3 linked regions of the Caenorhabditis elegans genome follow. The gene in region 3 interacts genetically with the main gene of each other region. Each region holds a gene or a part of one and is shown on either strand. Other genes may lie near its edges.

What was found.
Region 1: changes in egl-15 (region 3) and F37A8.2 together harm fitness more than expected from each alone (negative genetic interaction), as found in Caenorhabditis elegans (one large-scale study listed by BioGRID).
Region 2: changes in egl-15 (region 3) and rpl-37.2 together harm fitness more than expected from each alone (negative genetic interaction), as found in Caenorhabditis elegans (one large-scale study listed by BioGRID).

What each region holds. Positions count from the first base shown.
Region 1 is NC_003281.10:3,929,011-3,933,800, reverse strand, and holds F37A8.2 (RING-type domain-containing protein), read left to right. Parts: upstream 1-2,277; 5' UTR 2,278-2,375; coding exon 2,376-2,471; intron 2,472-2,593; coding exon 2,594-2,677; intron 2,678-2,723; coding exon 2,724-2,863; intron 2,864-2,911; coding exon 2,912-3,027; intron 3,028-3,144; coding exon 3,145-3,229; intron 3,230-3,283; coding exon 3,284-3,511; intron 3,512-3,556; coding exon 3,557-3,712; intron 3,713-3,769; coding exon 3,770-3,976; intron 3,977-4,177; coding exon 4,178-4,250; 3' UTR 4,251-4,290; downstream 4,291-4,790. Other genes in the region: nlp-10 (Neuropeptide-Like Protein), read left to right, coding at 1-21; F37A8.1 (mRNA 5'-triphosphatase), read right to left, coding at 4,673-4,790.
Region 2 is NC_003281.10:3,525,984-3,529,417, forward strand, and holds rpl-37.2 (Large ribosomal subunit protein eL37), read left to right. Parts: upstream 1-2,658; coding exon 2,659-2,934; downstream 2,935-3,434. Other genes in the region: pitp-1 (DDHD domain-containing protein), read right to left, coding at 136-626, 1,730-1,862. UniProt on the Caenorhabditis elegans protein: Binds to the 23S rRNA.
Region 3 is NC_003284.9:11,014,215-11,023,229, forward strand, and holds the start of egl-15 (receptor protein-tyrosine kinase), read left to right. Parts: upstream 1-2,185; 5' UTR 2,186-2,226; coding exon 2,227-2,314; intron 2,315-2,367; coding exon 2,368-2,429; intron 2,430-2,476; coding exon 2,477-2,638; intron 2,639-3,221; coding exon 3,222-3,291; intron 3,292-3,365; coding exon 3,366-3,716; intron 3,717-3,730; coding exon of another isoform or gene 3,731-3,925; intron 3,926-4,000; coding exon 4,001-4,236; intron 4,237-4,310; coding exon 4,311-4,550; intron 4,551-4,598; coding exon 4,599-4,760; intron 4,761-4,806; coding exon 4,807-4,914; intron 4,915-4,963; coding exon 4,964-5,400; intron 5,401-5,468; coding exon 5,469-5,547; intron 5,548-5,602; coding exon 5,603-5,896; intron 5,897-6,072; coding exon 6,073-6,269; intron 6,270-6,319; coding exon 6,320-6,403; intron 6,404-6,935; coding exon 6,936-7,040; intron 7,041-7,094; coding exon 7,095-7,257; intron 7,258-7,302; coding exon 7,303-7,416; intron 7,417-7,508; coding exon 7,509-7,635; coding exon of another isoform or gene 7,636-7,679; and 12 more. Other genes in the region: F58A3.3 (RHDF1), read left to right, coding at 1-78, 122-198. UniProt on the Caenorhabditis elegans protein: Receptor tyrosine kinase required for larval development. May phosphorylate adapter protein soc-1 which in turn may result in the recruitment and/or activation of phosphatase ptp-2.

The DNA.
Region 1 (4,790 bases), on a different chromosome or scaffold from region 3:
GGTGGTATGTACGGACGATGATGATTTGTGCTGCATTTTCTGGGAAATTTCAATTATTATCTCTTTGCTCCATCCATTTTTTTTAAAACCAGATCACTCTGTTTCTTTTACTCTTTTCTCTTCCACATCCTCTATCGATCTCAATCTATCTGATCTCATTCCAATTGGGGGATTTATGATGACAATGGATTTTTTATCCAATAAAAAGTGCGTTAGGATCGATGTTTTTTTATTGTTTTTTTTTTTTTGATTTCAAAATTTGAGGATCATTTGTCAAACAATACAAGGTGGACAAATTCGGTACCGATGAGATGTGGAAATTGATTACAAATTGATTGTTAGTTGAACCATCCGGGGCACTGAAAAGTATATTTCTGCGTATAAAAAATCTTCGAAATCTAGGCATGGCTTTCGCGGACTGCATTCGCGTTTCAGGTCTGTAATTTGAGGCAAAATTGACCAAACAAATATCATAATAAAAGTTACCAACCTGTGATCATTCTCATTGGGTCTCTAATAACAAAACCATATGCATCTAAATCTTTGAGCCTTCCTCTTAATTTCACGAATGCTTTCTCAAAGAATGCGGGCCACAATTCATACTTGTTCACATTGATCAACGGATCTCCAGTCCCAGTCACAAGTGGAAAAAAGAATCCAATTTGATTAGTTTCCATTCTCCGTCTACCAGCAATCCAAAGCCAATTTAGTTTGATTCTTCAGAAGCTGCATTTTCCAAGATACTCACTTTATCTGTACCAAGCCATTGTTTCTCTATTTCTCAGGCAAGATAAATCATTTTGATTTGTCATTGCGGCCAGAGATGCAGCTATATTACTGCCATAAGCAATTTCCTGAAATCTGTAATATAGCCGATATTTCAGTATTACAACTTACAGATGTTACTCTGAACTGCTTGAGAATTTTATTGTACAAGCAATATAACGGATCAGCGAATGATTTATAAATTACCTCCTCTTCACCACATTCGAGATTGATTTTTGTTCGGTAGAAAATGTGACATCGACGTAACTGACTCCGGATTTTCTGACAAACTTAATACGCACGAAGGGAAAGCAACCGCGTGCGTGTCTTATGCCTACCTACCGGTGCCTACCTGACTAAATACTTGCTTGCCTACCTACAAGCTTTGCGCGCACTGCAACTTTTTTCGAACGAGGGACGAGGCAAAAAGGGACGAGGCAACAATTTCCAAGTGAAAAAATTGTGAATTCAGTCGGCAAGTAGCAGTGAAAGTGGGCAATGTAATATGATGGATTACGGCTATACAAAACCCAAACTTTTTCTGAAACATGATATATATGCTTTTAAGATGCTGAAAGTACCTGATTTTCATAACGAGACAGCTAAAAAAGTTTTTAGATTTTCAAAATTCAACATTTTGTGCCAAAATCTCGACTTTTTTACCAAAAAAGTTGAATTTTGAAAATCTCAAAACTTTTTCAGCTGTCTCGTTATGAAAATCAGGTACTTTTAGCATCTAAACATCTATGTATCATGTTTGGGGAAAAGTTTGGGTTTTGTATTCCCGTAATCCATCATATTACATTGACCACTTTCACCGCTACTTGCCGGCTGAATTCACAATTTTTTCACTTGGAAATTATTTTCGCATTAACAAAAAATATGTATTTATCAGTTTTAATAATAAAACACGGAAAAAATTGGTGAAAACACAAGAAAACAAAGCAAGTAGAAAATGTCGTAAAATGCGGTGTATTGTGTGCAAACACCGATTTTTCGCATTTTTTCTCAGCCCTCGTTCGAAAAAAGTTGCAGTGATTTGCGTGATTCACGTTTAGTCTGTCATAGGTGGACAACTAGCAATTCGTGTGTAACCTGCTAATATGAAAGTAGCAACCATATAACCGTAAATGAAAAAATGGCTTCATATTTCCTTGAAAAACACTCTAAAACATGAACATGTTTTGACAACATAGTTGTCGGTTGCCAAAAGTGTTTCCGTTCGGCAACTCCGGCAGCACCCGTTGCCGCACAGCAACTAGCATACATGTTCTGTCGCCCGCAATTCTGATAGGAAAAACTCTGAAAATATAACCTCACTATCAGAGACTTGCGCAATTGAATTCTTTGTCTCCTTCCTTGAAAACTTCTTACATTGGAATTGTTTCACGTGTTTCACATGTTTCATTTTCGTTTTTCTTTTGTTCAAATGTTAATTTGATTATAGTTCAATATGTTCTGCGTGACCCATTCTATTTTCACATGAACTTTTTGCAATCAGAACAAAATAACAAGATGTTGCCAACAACTCGACTTTTGGATTTATTTCACATTTTTCAAATATTCATCGTTCTCGATATCAAAATAAAGACAAGGAAGCGCGGTAAACGATGACTGAATTCGAATCGACTGAAAACCAGAAACCGACTATGCTCGCCTCACTCGATCATCTTAGCCTACGGAATTGGGCATCGCCATTTGAAGAGGTATGTTTGTATATTGCCTCCCGACGTTTCCAGGGTTTCTCGTTTTTAGCCGACCCGGTTTGGGTTATTGAGTGGAATTCCGTTGCCCGGCATCTGCCGGGTCACTAAAATGATATTTTCAGGCTAGCACACCCCCAACATCTGATGATAGTTTCCAGTCGTCCTCTGAAGACAATCTTAGCTTGCGAAACTGGGCGCCCCTTTCAGTAAGCTCCTCTTCCGGAAAGACTATTCAATCTCCATAATTTTCAGCCAAATCCAGAAACAGAGAAATCTGCAAAGTCTCTGAGAAACTACAGCACAAATCCTCTGATCCCTTCGTACATCTGTGATTTGTGCGAGTCTCCAAAGACCTCAGAGCTTCGAGTTGCCCACGATGCTCCGACTTTCCAGTTCGTTTGAATCTCTAGCACTCAAATTGACTTTTTATGGGATTTCAGAACCACTTACTCCTATTCTATTAGTTGGGATGTGGAGATGGATGATGTGGAACACTATAGAAATGTCATGGAAACTGTTTCGAAAAGCTCTGCCATTTCTTCAAGATCTTCATTTGGTTAGTTTTTGGAAGCCTAAATCGGAATAAGTCAGCTGCTTAGAACCCTTCATAACGTTGCCACCGACACCTTACTTCACCTGGCTTCGCTTTCCGATTACATGATAAAAATTTCAGGAGGCGCCCCATCTCCAGTGGTTGTCAAGTGTGATGGGCCTTGCAAGAAGGAGTTCCCATCGAACTTGCTGAGCACGATTGGAAGGTGAGTAACCCGTTAAACATGACCCAAGTAATAATAAAAATGATGTGGTTCGAGATGTGGTCACTACCTCTGTACCGCATGTTTCGACATTGTGAAGAACGCGGATGGAACATACGGATGCAGTTCTCAGCAATGCTACTGGAAGGGATCATCACGTCAGGAGAGTAAGAAGTACTATGAGAAGGATATTTGTCGAAAGCAAAGAGCAAAGGCACTGGGTATGAAAGATCTTGGAATAGATGTGAAGCCGGCTTCTTCTGCAAGCTCAAATCCGATCAAAGAGTGAGCGAGAAGCATCCGACAGAGAACATAAATAAGAATTTCCAGAACATCCGATTCTTCATCTGAAACTAACTGTTCTCTGTCTTCTGGAACAGTTTCCTTCAACCATAGAATGTTGAACTCATTGACTCCTGTCGCCGAAAATTCCGTTGCAATCATGATGGTGCTCGTGGAGCCGGTCGAGGTGTACGGCATTGTTCAGTGAGTTTTAAAATATTTATCATTTTCAACTATTTTCTAATATCCCACTTTTTGCAGTAGCTACGTAAAAATGAGCTTCCCACTCAACACGAATCTTGCCAAAGCTCTTGGGGCAATGTTGCATCGGAAGAAGAAAGTTCTCGGAGACAATGTGGCAAATGGACAACTGTATTTTGGATTCGTGAATGATGATGAAAAGATTGGTATGCGTCGTATCAAATCGAATTATTATGATAGCTTGATGGTTGCGGAGATTCCAAAATTGTAAGTTTTAGTTTCCAATTTATAAGCTAATTTTATTAGTTTCTTATATGGAACTTGCTCTTGTCTTTATAAAAAAAGGCTGCGGCGCCGCATCTGCCTGGTTACACGATCTAAGTTGTGGAACCCGTTTAATGTCGGACGCTATCAGATGAGTGTTCGGGCACTCGGAAGTTTCTTTCACAACCTCAAAATAATTTTCAGTGATGATCGTGTCGTTCTCATCTTTGATGTCGGAGATTATGTGGCTCGTGGATTCAAGATTTATTTGGAATGAACTTGTTTCGTTTTTATGAATAAAAGTTTGAAGGTCTGCGTTTGTGTATAGGCTGCTGTGTTTTTGAAAACGCGTTTAACATAATCTGTATTCCAATAAAAGTTTCTGGTCTCGATCCTAAAACACCTTGTTTAGTAGAAATAGATGGGAAGAGGTCAAAAAGTTGTACGTCGCCGTGGTTGTTAGAGTTGAGGAATACATGTTTGAAGATCCAAGGGATCAGCTCATTGTTGGAAGTAACTGAATTGGCAGCATTGAAGTCTCCACAACACAATTGCAGATCTTCGAACAAAAATCTGGGCTTTTTCTAGATATCTATTCATCGATGAATGACAATGCTTGTTGTGACTATAATATAAATTATTTTCAAGAAGTTTCTCAGCAACATTTTCAAGAACAAGGTAGAGAAGGCAGATTCTCAATCAATGATTTCGGATAGACAAGATCAAGACAGACAAGGTGCGATCGATCTCCAACTTCAATTTCTTCTTCTCATCACGATCCGGAATTGTCACCTCGACATCCAACTCCAAAGTCACT
Region 2 (3,434 bases), on a different chromosome or scaffold from region 3:
AGGAATTTATTTCATTTTGAAATTTGGAATTTTTGGGCTACTTTGAGTGTAATACGGAAAACACTTATCAGGTTCTCCTCCAAAAAAAACCGAAAAAAAATGTTTCGATGCGCCATGTCCATTTCTCTCACTTACCCATTCATCCTGCCACGCCCACGCCTGTCGATGTGCTCTCATCATGGTATTCCTCAGTGCCAAATCATGAATCCATCTCTCGGCTCTCGTCTGCATACCCCAGTATCGAAACTCGACTTTACATAATTTATACGCACACATAATGGGTAGACCTTTCTTCAAATGTTCTGCAACCCAATCGTCATTTAATGGTCCTCGATTTGTTGTCTCGGAACGATAGAGCTTTGGATCTTCTTCTGCACAATAATCATGTGATGAAATGGGATCTTTCACAAAATCCATATAATCAATTATTCGAGTAGATTTGTCCTTTTCGTTCAAATTGAACACATTCTCCTGTTGACCATGATCATCGAAATAGAGTGTCTCAACTTCCAGACTGAACCTATCCATCATTGGGGTTGAATACCGTGTCTTTGTCACTGGATATGCATTCCATGATTCTTCATGTGCTTCTAATGCGTTTGTTGGGAGCACTGTTCGGATCCAGGCTGGAAAAAATGAAATATTGAGTTTTGGAGGAAGATTTTTTAGGAGTTGTGTTTTTGTGAAATTCTTGGAACTTTTTTGGCACAAAATTACAGAAAAAATCCAACAAAAAACTATTTTTTTACAATTTTGCAAAAAAATAGGAAGGACCAAATAGTTTTAAATTCCCGCGGAAATGAATTAAAAAAAAATTTTCTGGTTAAATTCATCGGCAAAATTTTATGTTATAAGATTAGTACATTTTAAGATTCTAACAGATTTTTCGGTATAGAAAACTTGAAAACCAGAACTATCGCCGAGCTCTAATACTTTTTTTTGCTGAAAAATTCCTGAAAATTTGGCATACCAAGTTTCATATTTTATAACAGAGAAAAACAATTATTATAGGAAAATTAATAAATAAAAAAAAACTAAGAAATCTTACTTACTACCTATTAGTAAATTCAAAAAATAAAAATAAAACTTAGAACAATTCAATAAATTTTTTAAAACTTTTTTCTCACATTTAAATTTTTTTTCAAAACTGTCTAAAACCTATTATACAAATACTTCTTTTTGGAATTTATTTATTTTATTTATTTGAATACGATTTAATTATCGTGAAGAGAATGTAATGCACAAAAAAATAAAATACAAATACACAAAAAAGAGAAAATACAAGTAAGAAATACAAATAATAGGAATTAAATTTTTTTTTGGAATTTGGAATATTTGGTCTAGGTTACCATAAAGATTATGAAAATTTGTCAAAAACATTTTCCAATTATTTTTAAAAACATTATCTAAAAATAATTTTTTTCGAATGGAATTGAATTTTGAACGCGCTTTGATCGGCAGTAAATTATAAAAAATCAATTTTAAAAAATTAATATTTTCTTTTTTAATAGAAAAAAAATCAAAAGACCGGCAATTTCTGACCCCTTCCTCTCATTTTCACCCCGTAATTTGATATGAGCAGCGGCGTGAGATTCCAATTTCTCTTAAAAAGAAAAGAGTAGTAAATTGTGAATAATTCAGAGCAAAAAAAATCTCATATTCTCTCATCAAAAAAGAAAAAAAACACTTCCTTCCCCACTATTTTGCAATTCAAATAATGTGAACAAACCGGGAATTCTACTTCCAATATGATAGATCTTAAATGTATACTGTCCACTGCCACCGGGTCCATCTGTATACGGCTTGTTGCTAATGATCTCTACTCCTGAATCTTGACCGTGAGAATCCAGACGACTTTTTTTCTGCAAAAAATATGCATAGATGAAATTTCTGACAATAATATGTAGAAAACTGTGAAAACAGAGCGTTTTGAACTCGTTTAATGCAATTAATAGGCTTTTTTTCAAGCTTTAATACCTCGAGACTTGATTACAAAAAATTGAACTTTTACGCAAAAAAATGTTTCCAGAAACTTTAATTTTCCTACATATAAAAATTTTTAAAAAATAATTTATCAACTAACTCTTCCTAATTCAAAAATATTTTGTTTTCCCCAAAATTATGTTTCCTCATCGATGCACCATGTAATTTCACACATGGCTTCTCCCATTTCTTGCTCCTTCAAGACTTTTTAAAAGCTTTTTCCTTTTTTCTTTTTCTCTCATTTTAGGGCCACTTTGTCGTCAACAATTTGTTGCCATTTCAAGCGTCACATCAATTAGGAGGTCAACTACTGGCTTTAGTAACTCCCAGTGAAGCTTCATGTGAAAGACAAAATGTCAACTTTCCGATTGAACAAACATTTTGCGTTTTTTTTTGGGTGGAAACTAGAGGTCTCAATGACAAGGTCACAGAGCACAATTGAGCACACAATTGGTTTAGAGTTCAGACTCGAAAAAGATCAGTTTGGGAAAGTTGAACATTTGTAATGTTTTGAGTTTTGATTTTTGGAATTTTGCGAAAAAAGGAACTAAAAATATATATTTTTTGGTCAAAATTTGACAAAAAAAAGGTTTTTCTAAATTAAAACTTAAATGATATATAAATATTTTTCTGAATTTCCAAATTTTCACAGTAATACAAATTACCCAGTTTGAGATGACTAAGGGTACTCAAGCTTTCGGAAAGAAGCACGTTAAGTCTCACACGCTTTGCAAGCGTTGCGGAAAGTCATCGTTCCATATCCAGAAGAAGCGTTGCGCTTCCTGCGGATATCAAGATGCCAAGAAGAGAACCTACAACTGGGGAGCCAAGTCCATCCGCAGACGCACCACCGGAACCGGCCGCACCCGTCATCTGAGAGACGTCAACGCTCGCTTCAGAAACGGATTCCGCGGAACAACTCCAAAGCCACGCGCTCAACCAACCAACTAATTTTTTGCTGTTAATTGTTGACAATAAACTGTCTACGTTCCAAAAAAAAAATTAACAAATAAATCAGAAAAATTTCAAAATTTGGCCAAATTTTAATTTTTAATTTTTTTGCGATAGAAAGCATTTTTGAGTTTTCAGAAGTTGCCGAAAATATTCATTTTTTTCAAAATTTTTAGAACATTTTCCAAAAAATTCAAAAGCAGGTCTAAAAATGATTTTTTCGTTTTTTTCAGAATTTCTAGTTTTCGACAAAAATATGTTGAGAAAAAAATGTTGAAAAAGGGGCCAACTTTCAGGTTTTTCAAAAATATATATGTCAAAGTCTTTAAAAAATCGGGTAATTTTTGAAATTTTGTGAAAATACAAATTTTAAACAATTCCAAAAGAAATCACAAATTTGACAATTTTCAGAAGTTGAAGGAAATATTAATTTTTTCAAAACATTTATTTTAAATATAAAATTGTTTTAATATACTTTCAGAACTTTTAAAATTTGGGAA
Region 3 (9,015 bases):
GGCTAGTTCATGTGGCTATTCGAAAAGGATGCAAATTTCATCATGGATATACACGGCAGTTCAATCTTATTGGTCAAGGTATTTGGTTTATTAAACATTCGTGTTGCAATTCTGTATTTAGGAGTTCTGTTCTTCCAAGTTGATATGGCTGGTACATTACGGGACGACGGAAAATTGTGGCTTGACTGCCTGAATTAACAGTTGCCACACATATCGTTTAATGATAATTGTAAGCTTTATTGTATCCATTTCATTGTTTTCATTCAATTTTAGATTGCTTTAATAAATAGAAGAGATTTACGGCGTTAAATCATTTGTTACTTGTTTTGTCCTCCTCGTGACATTGAATGAGGTGGTGCCGTTCCACTGCGCGTGATATATGATACGCAGCCAATTCTCGGTAGACCCGCTTACTTCTTCGACCTTTCGCATTTAATTGCATTCTGATATCTATTTTCATATTGACCACATGTTGTTCACCTGCACACTGTCAAAATGACTCATTTACAATAACTTTTCGCGTTCGAGATTTATAAAGGAATGCAACACAAACAGGTGCGCGTAAATAAAGAAAAACCGAAATTGAATTAGCTTTTGCATCTAAATATGTCGCCTACAATTATCCCGTGTTCTATCATTTTTGGCGACTGACTGCCTTATGCGCAATGCCCAATCACTAACCCCTTTTCTTTTTAACGCATCTCTTTTCTCATCATTGTCCATTCTCGTTTATCTCTCCTTCTTTTTCTAATTCCCTTGATTTTCTCTCACTTTCTGATTGCATTTTTCTATATTGATTAGCCTGTAGACACATACCAAATACTCCAAAAAATAAGACCCACAGCAACAAAAAACCGACGCCTATGTTGTCGGTTACCGTCTCATGATTGTAATGCCCCCTTCTCTTTTTCTTATCACTCTTTTCTAATGGAATTCTTGGGGGCAACAAACTGGTTTAATGACAAAATTGAAACAAGAAATCCATTCACCTACCTGTTAAAATTGAGTAAATGATGTGACATTTGAATTAATTAGACTCGCAACTAACCATCTCGTATCCGCGATAAGCATCTCTTGGAATGTTGGTCACACCCTGTTGTGCAACTATTAAGTTTTGAAATTACAATTTTATAATACATAACTTCTACAAAAAAGTGCCTAGAAATCGCACAGATTAAATTACACTTCAATAATCAAAAAGCTGGTTTATAACTAAATGTTCTAATCATTAATCACAACCTAAGTTTTTTATGAACATTTTCTTTTTATTTTTTTAGGAATATTTAGATAGAATGTTTCACTAAAGAAGTATCTCATTATTTTGAAAACTAGCCTTATAATCTCAAATTTGATCTAATTTAAACTATTTTATATGCAATGTATGACGTTGGTTTTGAAAAGTTACCATAGCGTTATTACGCTTACATCAGCTGCTAAAATTTGTTTTTATTATACATAACGAGTTTTTATAAAACCTCAAATTGCTCTAAAAAAATTACATAACTCTATAACATAGCCGTGATCATTGAAAAGATAGACCCACTTTATTCGCTATATCATACTGCAAGACTAGCAATAAAAAGTTACATTGTGTCCGGAAATGTTGAAAGGTTTTTGTTTCCGTAACATATGCACTGCATCCGGAAGAAACACCTCCAGATGTGACTTCTTATTCAAGGTTTTGCTTCGATATCAATCGAAACGGCATTGTGTCATTCCACCTTGTCGGCGAAGACAACGAATCCACAACATCTTAACATCTGGACGTCTTTCGTCGTCTCAATTTGACGCTCGTTCACTTTTTACTCTTTTTATTATCGCCCTCCGCTCGCTGCTCGTTTTTTTTTTCTATGAGCAACATATGCGTAAATTTAGACGGTTCTAATTATGATTTGCTTTAGTTTCTTGATTGTTCCCAGAGATCATTAGACCTTATGACCCAGAGGGTCGGAACTTTTGAAAACGTTGCGCGGGTGTCGCCAATTTGTTACATATGGTGGTGGGGTATGGAGCCAGTAATATATAACCCATGGCTCGCGCAGAGGTACCAGTAAGAACCCAACAAATAAATCTTTGTACCGGTCTGATTCACCTCTCTCACATGTATTCAATTTCAAAAGTTTCACAGCTTCTCCTTCTGAGTGTTTTAATATTTTGATTATTAGTAGATAAATAGTAGATACAAAAGATTGCAGAAATTCGAATGTTTGCCTGATACATATCATCATGAGTTATTTCCTTGCATCCTGCCTCGGTGTGGGCTTACTTTCTACAGTTTCTTGTTCTCTTCAAGGATTGACCAGTCATTACAGAGGTAAGAGAGTTGTCACAAAATCTAATTTATTTTCATATTATTCGATTTTACAGAAAATATTCCCCGTTTCAAGCATGTAGCAAACGAAAGATACGAAGTATTTCTTGGAGATGAGGTTTGGTGGAACAAATATTTAACAGCAATAGATGTACACAGTTTTAGATAAAATTTGACTGTCAAACCGCGGCGTCAAAGATTTCTGCCTTTGTCGAATGGTATCGTAATGACAAGTTACTCAAAAATGATCAAATAGATAAAGACAAAATTCGGAAAGATAATAACAGGATGATGCTTCACTTGAAGAATATTGATGTTTCAGATCAGGTATATGATTTTTTATTATTTTTGTGGTTTTTTTTTTGTTGAACAATGTGGTTAGAACACCAAGTATCGCATTTCTCCTATTAGAATTGCATGCATTTCTATTTTTTTAATTGACAATTTAGAGTGCAAAGACTGATAGGAATTCAAGACTAACATACACTATGAAACTGTATTTCGATGTCTCGTTTCAAATTTGGTTTTTCTTGTTTTTAACCTAAAATACTGGAGTTACCTAAAATACCGTAAAGAAACAATACAACATGATAATTAAAATGATTTAATGTTTGAAAAATGTTTGGAATTATTAAAAAAAAACATTTAACCAATAAAAAATATCTTGTAGATGCTAAAGTTTGTGTGATATCTCTTGCGCGTGTTTAGTTCTGCAAGAATAATATGAAAGAAAATAGGAAAAAAAACTATAACCGACTACCATGAGTTTTAAGCATCATCAAAAATATATATTAATTCAAAAATACCAACAAACTGAGAACTTTTTTCAGCAGTTTTTGACTCTGTCAACTTAAAAAAAAACGTTTATTTAAAAACGTTTAAAAACGTTTAAAAACTAATATTTTTGCAGGGTCTTTGGTCTTGCCGCGTACACAACGCATATGGACAAATATCACGAAATTTTACAGTTGAAGTTATTGGTAAGTATCTCTATTGCTCGATTCTTTGCAGTGCAAGCATAATTTCTTCCATGCATGGTGTGCTTTGTTTTCAGACTTTTGTGATTACTTCCTGTTTCCCGATATTCATCATTTGAACATTCCGATGGAATGTGTTTGTTTATGGAAATACAACAAAGAAGCAAAACGATCTGATGTGAACTATGCAGCGGTAACAGGAGAAGTCTGCTCAAAGTACGCATCTCGCATGATAAATAGAGCACGAAAACCGTTGCCAATGATTCCTTGCTTTGGTGATCACTGCAAAGAATTTGACACTACTCCTGTTTCGGATTTTGGTTTACCTGGGAAACCCGAGGACGATCCTTTAGTAAAGCGTGTTGTTTTGAAAAAAGATGATGTGATTGTGCCCGTGCATGACTCTGAAGAAAGTCCATCCGAATCCAGTAAGTTATTTCAGATCCACTTAAACTGTTCGATTGGCTCACTGAGCATCGAGTATTCGATATTAGTCATTTATTGCCAAAATTGCTACCTCCTGCGGAAATGAGGAGAGTGAAAAGCCAATTGGGCGGATGGGAGAAGATGAATAATGAACAGAAAATTGTTCGAGCCAGGCACATTCTGAGATTAAGACAGATCAATCATGCTTTGGGTAGGCTACATCAGTGGTTGAATTATTTTAAATGCTTCATTTTCTTCTTATATATCTCAGTAAACTTGTTTTTAGGAACCGAATTTATCAATGCTGATGAAAAAGAAAACAAAGAAGACGAAGAAGAAGACTATAGTGTTTCACAACCGGTTGCTCCAGATGCGGGGCTCACTGAGCTGAATATTACTGCGGAAGAGCCACCATATTTCAAGTCAAACGACAACATTGTATTGTTTAATGAAACGCATGCTCTACCAGCAGGACGAACATTGAAACTTAATTGTCGCGCAAAAGGATACCCTGAGCCACAGGTACGATTCATGAAAAACTTGAAATTTTTCACGTAAAGAAACATTGGATTTTCAATCAATGCATTTGATCACAGATTATCTGGTACAAAAACGGCAAAATGTTGAAGAAAAGTAGTGCTCGGTCCGGCGGATACGAATTCAAGTTCAATAGATGGTCTTTAGAAGTGGAAGATGCTGTCGTAGCAGATTCTGGGGAGTTTCATTGTGAAGCATTGAACAAAGTTGGAAGTGCAAAAAAGTATTTCCATGTGATCATAGTCAACAGAATGAGAAGACCGCCCATTATCGTTCCGAATATTTTGGCTAATCAATCAGTAAGATTTTGCCTCACGGCATCTATAGTTTCAATGTTTTATATTTAGGTAAATATTAATGACACTGCCACATTCCACTGCAAAGTTGTCTCTGACTTATTGCCTCATATTATTTGGGTACGCATCAACAAAATCAATGGGTCGTATAGCTACTACAACAATTCAGCTGAAGAGTATATGTTCAATTACACAGAGATGGACACTTTTGATGTATGTTATGAAACATGTTCTCATCTATCAAAAAGTGTCGTTTCAGAAAGCGCACGTCCATCACGTTGGTGATGAATCGACGCTTACTATTTTCAATGTGTCGCTGGATGATCAGGGAATATATGCTTGTCTCAGTGGAAACTCACTGGGGATGGTAAGAAATTGATTGAACCTTCTAGTTGAACAAATTAAGAGTTTTACAGTCGATGGCGAATGCCACTTTAACGGTGAATGAGTTTATGGCCATACATTTGCTCACTGGTGACGAACCGAAGATAGATAGATGGACAACATCCGATTATATATTTACAACAATTCTGCTTTTCTTACTGCTTGCTGCAACATTATTTGGAATTTTGTTTATGGTGTGCAAACAAACACTACACAAAAAAGGATTCATGGATGATACTGTTGGATTAGTGGCAAGAAAAAAAAGAGTCGTAGTTAGCAAAAGGCCAATGAATGAAGATAATGAGAATTCGGATGATGAGCCATCACCTTATCAAATTCAAATAATAGAGACTCCAATTACAAAGAAAGAAGCAGCGAGAAAACAAAGAAAACGTATGAATTCAGAAAACACTGTTCTTTCGGAATACGAGGTTGATTCGGATCCAGTTTGGGAAGTTGAAAGATCAAAGTGGGTCAAATCTTTAATACATTCAGCCAGACAAGAATTCAATTTAAACATTAAATTTCAACGTTTAGATTGAGTTTGGTTCACATGCTTGGCGAGGGAGCATTTGGAGAAGTTTGGAAAGCAACATACAAAGAAACAGAAAACAATGTAATTTTGGGAAAACAAAAAAACAAGAAAATCTGAAATTTTAATTGCGTTTCAGGAAATCGCAGTTGCTGTCAAAAAATTGAAAATGTCAGCTCACGAAAAAGAGCTCATTGACTTGGTCAGTGAAATGGAAACATTCAAAGTTATAGGAGAACATGAGAACGTGTTGCGATTGATTGGATGCTGTACAGGCGCTGGTCCGCTTTATGTCGTTGTTGAGCTGTGCAAGCATGGGAATTTGCGCGATTTCTTGAGAGCACATAGACCTAAGGAAGAGAAGGCAAAAAAGTCCAGCCAAGAATTGACGGATTATTTGGAACCACGAAAAGCATCTGATAAGGATGACATTGTGAGTGGCTTATGTTTTGAATAAAATATGATTTTTTCCACTGACAAAATTTGAAATACTCATCAAACTTTGAAAATCTTGTAGAAAAGCGTTTTCCTGATTGCTCATTATCAGTAAACCTGTCTTAGTCAGTTTTAAATTTACCAGAGTAATTTTGCTGAAATTTTCATTTTTAGGAGCTCATACCAAATTTGACACAACGCCATCTTGTACAATTTGCTTGGCAAGTGGCTCAAGGAATGAACTTCTTGGCATCAAAGAAGATCATACATCGTGATTTGGCAGCAAGAAATGTTCTCGTCGGTGATGGACACGTTCTGAAAATATCGGATTTTGGACTATCGAGAGATGTGCACTGTAACGATTATTATAGGTTGTAACATTATTCCTAATGATATATTACTGATGATATATTACTTCCAGAAAACGTGGAAACGGCAGACTTCCCATTAAATGGATGGCTTTAGAAGCGTTGGACTCAAATGTATACACCGTGGAAAGTGATGTGTGAGTAATGGTTTTCTGTGGTAGAAAAGTTTCGTGGAGGTCCTTTCCAGGTTCACGTTTGAAAAAAATTGATTTTTCAATATAATCACATATGTCTTATTTGTCTTTTCACACAAGTTAATCATCCTGAGTCAACCTGAGCATCTGAATCGGGATAGCTGTATATTTATTTTACTTATTTTGGGTTTTTAGGATACAACGTTTTAGGATTTTAATTTAGGGAAAAACATTAAACATAAATATATTTGTGATATGTCTGAATTGAAGTTGTTTCCCGCCTGTGGAAAAATAGTTATAAAAAACTATTGAACGACAATTTAATTTAACAAAAAATATATTATTCAAATTTGAATATCAAAAAAAAAAAATACTATTGCTTCCAAAACTATCACTCTGTGAACAATGCATTCACCATTTTTCTTGGCACGCTTTTATTTCAGTTTTCCATTTACATTTTTTGGGGCAATTTTAGGGCACGACAGTGGTTGTGTACCAAAATTAATACTATAATGACTCATTGATACTTTTGTAGATGGTCATATGGAGTTCTCCTTTGGGAAATCATGACACTTGGTGGAACTCCCTATCCAACGATTGCCATGCCTGAACTCTATGCTAACCTCAAAGAAGGATACAGGTGAAAATATTGAGAAAAACATGCAAATCTCACCTGTCTGACATGTTTTTGCAGAATGGAGCCACCACATTTATGTCCCCAAGAAGTCTACCATTTGATGTGCAGCTGCTGGAGAGAAAAATTGGAAGAACGACCATCTTTTAAAACAATCGTAGATTATTTGGATTGGATGTTAACAATGACAAATGAGACTATTGAGGGATCACAAGAATTTAATGTAAGGTCATACATCTGTGACAACATTTTTGAGGATATTTTCCAGGATCAATTTTTCTCCGAAAGATCCACGGCATCAGGTCCAGTTTCTCCTATGGAGTCATTCCAGAAAAAGAGAAAACATCGCCCTCTTTCAGCTCCAGTGAATCTTCCATCAGAGGTAGATCAAAACGTAATTTCGTACATAACGTATTTAAATTTTAAAAGAATTTAACCTATGAATTCGGAATCCATAAAGCACTGTTTTTGCAGCCACAACACACAATTTGCGACGACTATGAGTCCAATTTTTCTGTAGAACCACCCAATGATCCGAATCATCTCTACTGCAATGACAATATGCTGAAAAATCACATTATTACACCGGAAACCTCTCAACGTATTCCATCAAACAACAATAGCATGAGCAAACCCGAATTTTGACCGTTTTTAGTGTACATCCACAAAGTGCTCAACGAACCAATCGGAAACGGGTATGTTCGACAAGATAAATTAGCTCGTGCCGTCAGCGGTGTTGCCAACCAATCTCTCGACTCTGCCCTCGGTTCACCAGCTTGGCCTTCGTACGACCGTCCCTCTAACAAAGCTTCTTGTTTAGGTTCGTTTTCAGTTCGCTACTGACATTTAAGTTCAGGGCAACGATTTCAATGAATTTATAGATGATGAGAAGCATCACTACTATTACTCATAGTAGTCTCTCCGCCGTTATCAGATGTCATTTAAAAGTCCATTGTGGTAATCATGTTTCCGTGTTGTGTGTTTTTGTCCTGTAACATTTTTGTTTGGTGTAATGGGTTGCAGAACATCAAATCACATAAGTTAGCTTACAGATTTGCCTCCGTCAAGTGTCCAGACTAACATGACACTTATAAATGTTGTGCTATGTAACCTTTAAAGTTTCATTTGCAGATCAAACTCACCAGTATTATAATACAACGTCTAAAATTCAATATCTTCATTTTACCTTCGATGATCCAGATTGTATGACTAGGCAAGTATCGAAACAAATTTTAATAATTAGTAAACAAACTTGCTAGATAAAAACAGCCAATAGAGTTTTTTTATTGTTTAAAAACTTTACATTAAAATAAAACCTGAAATTTAAGTTGATAAATATGATACAGTCACACTTACTATTAGTTCAAAAATGTTGATCTTTCAAAATCTCGAATTCAACTAGAACTTGAATAATTTTTCACACATTAATTCCATCACAATTAGTTCTAAACCTAAAAATTAAAAAGCTAACGTTTTAATTTCTAAAAGAGAAGAAACACTTCAAAATGTTTATCTTTAGAACTTGTACGTGTAGGAGCGGCCCAATTATCACCCTCTTTTGCATAATTTTAGGAAAATTATTGTTTACCAGTTACTGAAACAGTTCTTAAATGATCATAGAAAAGCGTAAAAATTAACCAAAATCCGAAATAAAATGTGTCAATAAAAACAATTATAAAACTGAAGTTGTTCTTTTACTTTTAGATCAAGAGATTCTGCAATATTCGAGGAATCATATCATCCTAACTATATCCAGTCACATCCACTCTACTCGAAAATCATAATCAAAAAGAACATGTGAGTGCCAATTCTGGCATGAAAACACTACTACAGAGTTCAGCGAACTTCTTCTTTTCAGGACGCCTCGCAACCCGTTGCCGACAAAGGAAACTATTGTCTAACTTCGTTTTTGACTACTTTTTTCGTCCTCTTTTCTTTGTTTGCTGCTTGCTATGATCTAGTCATTTTTGACCAGATTTCT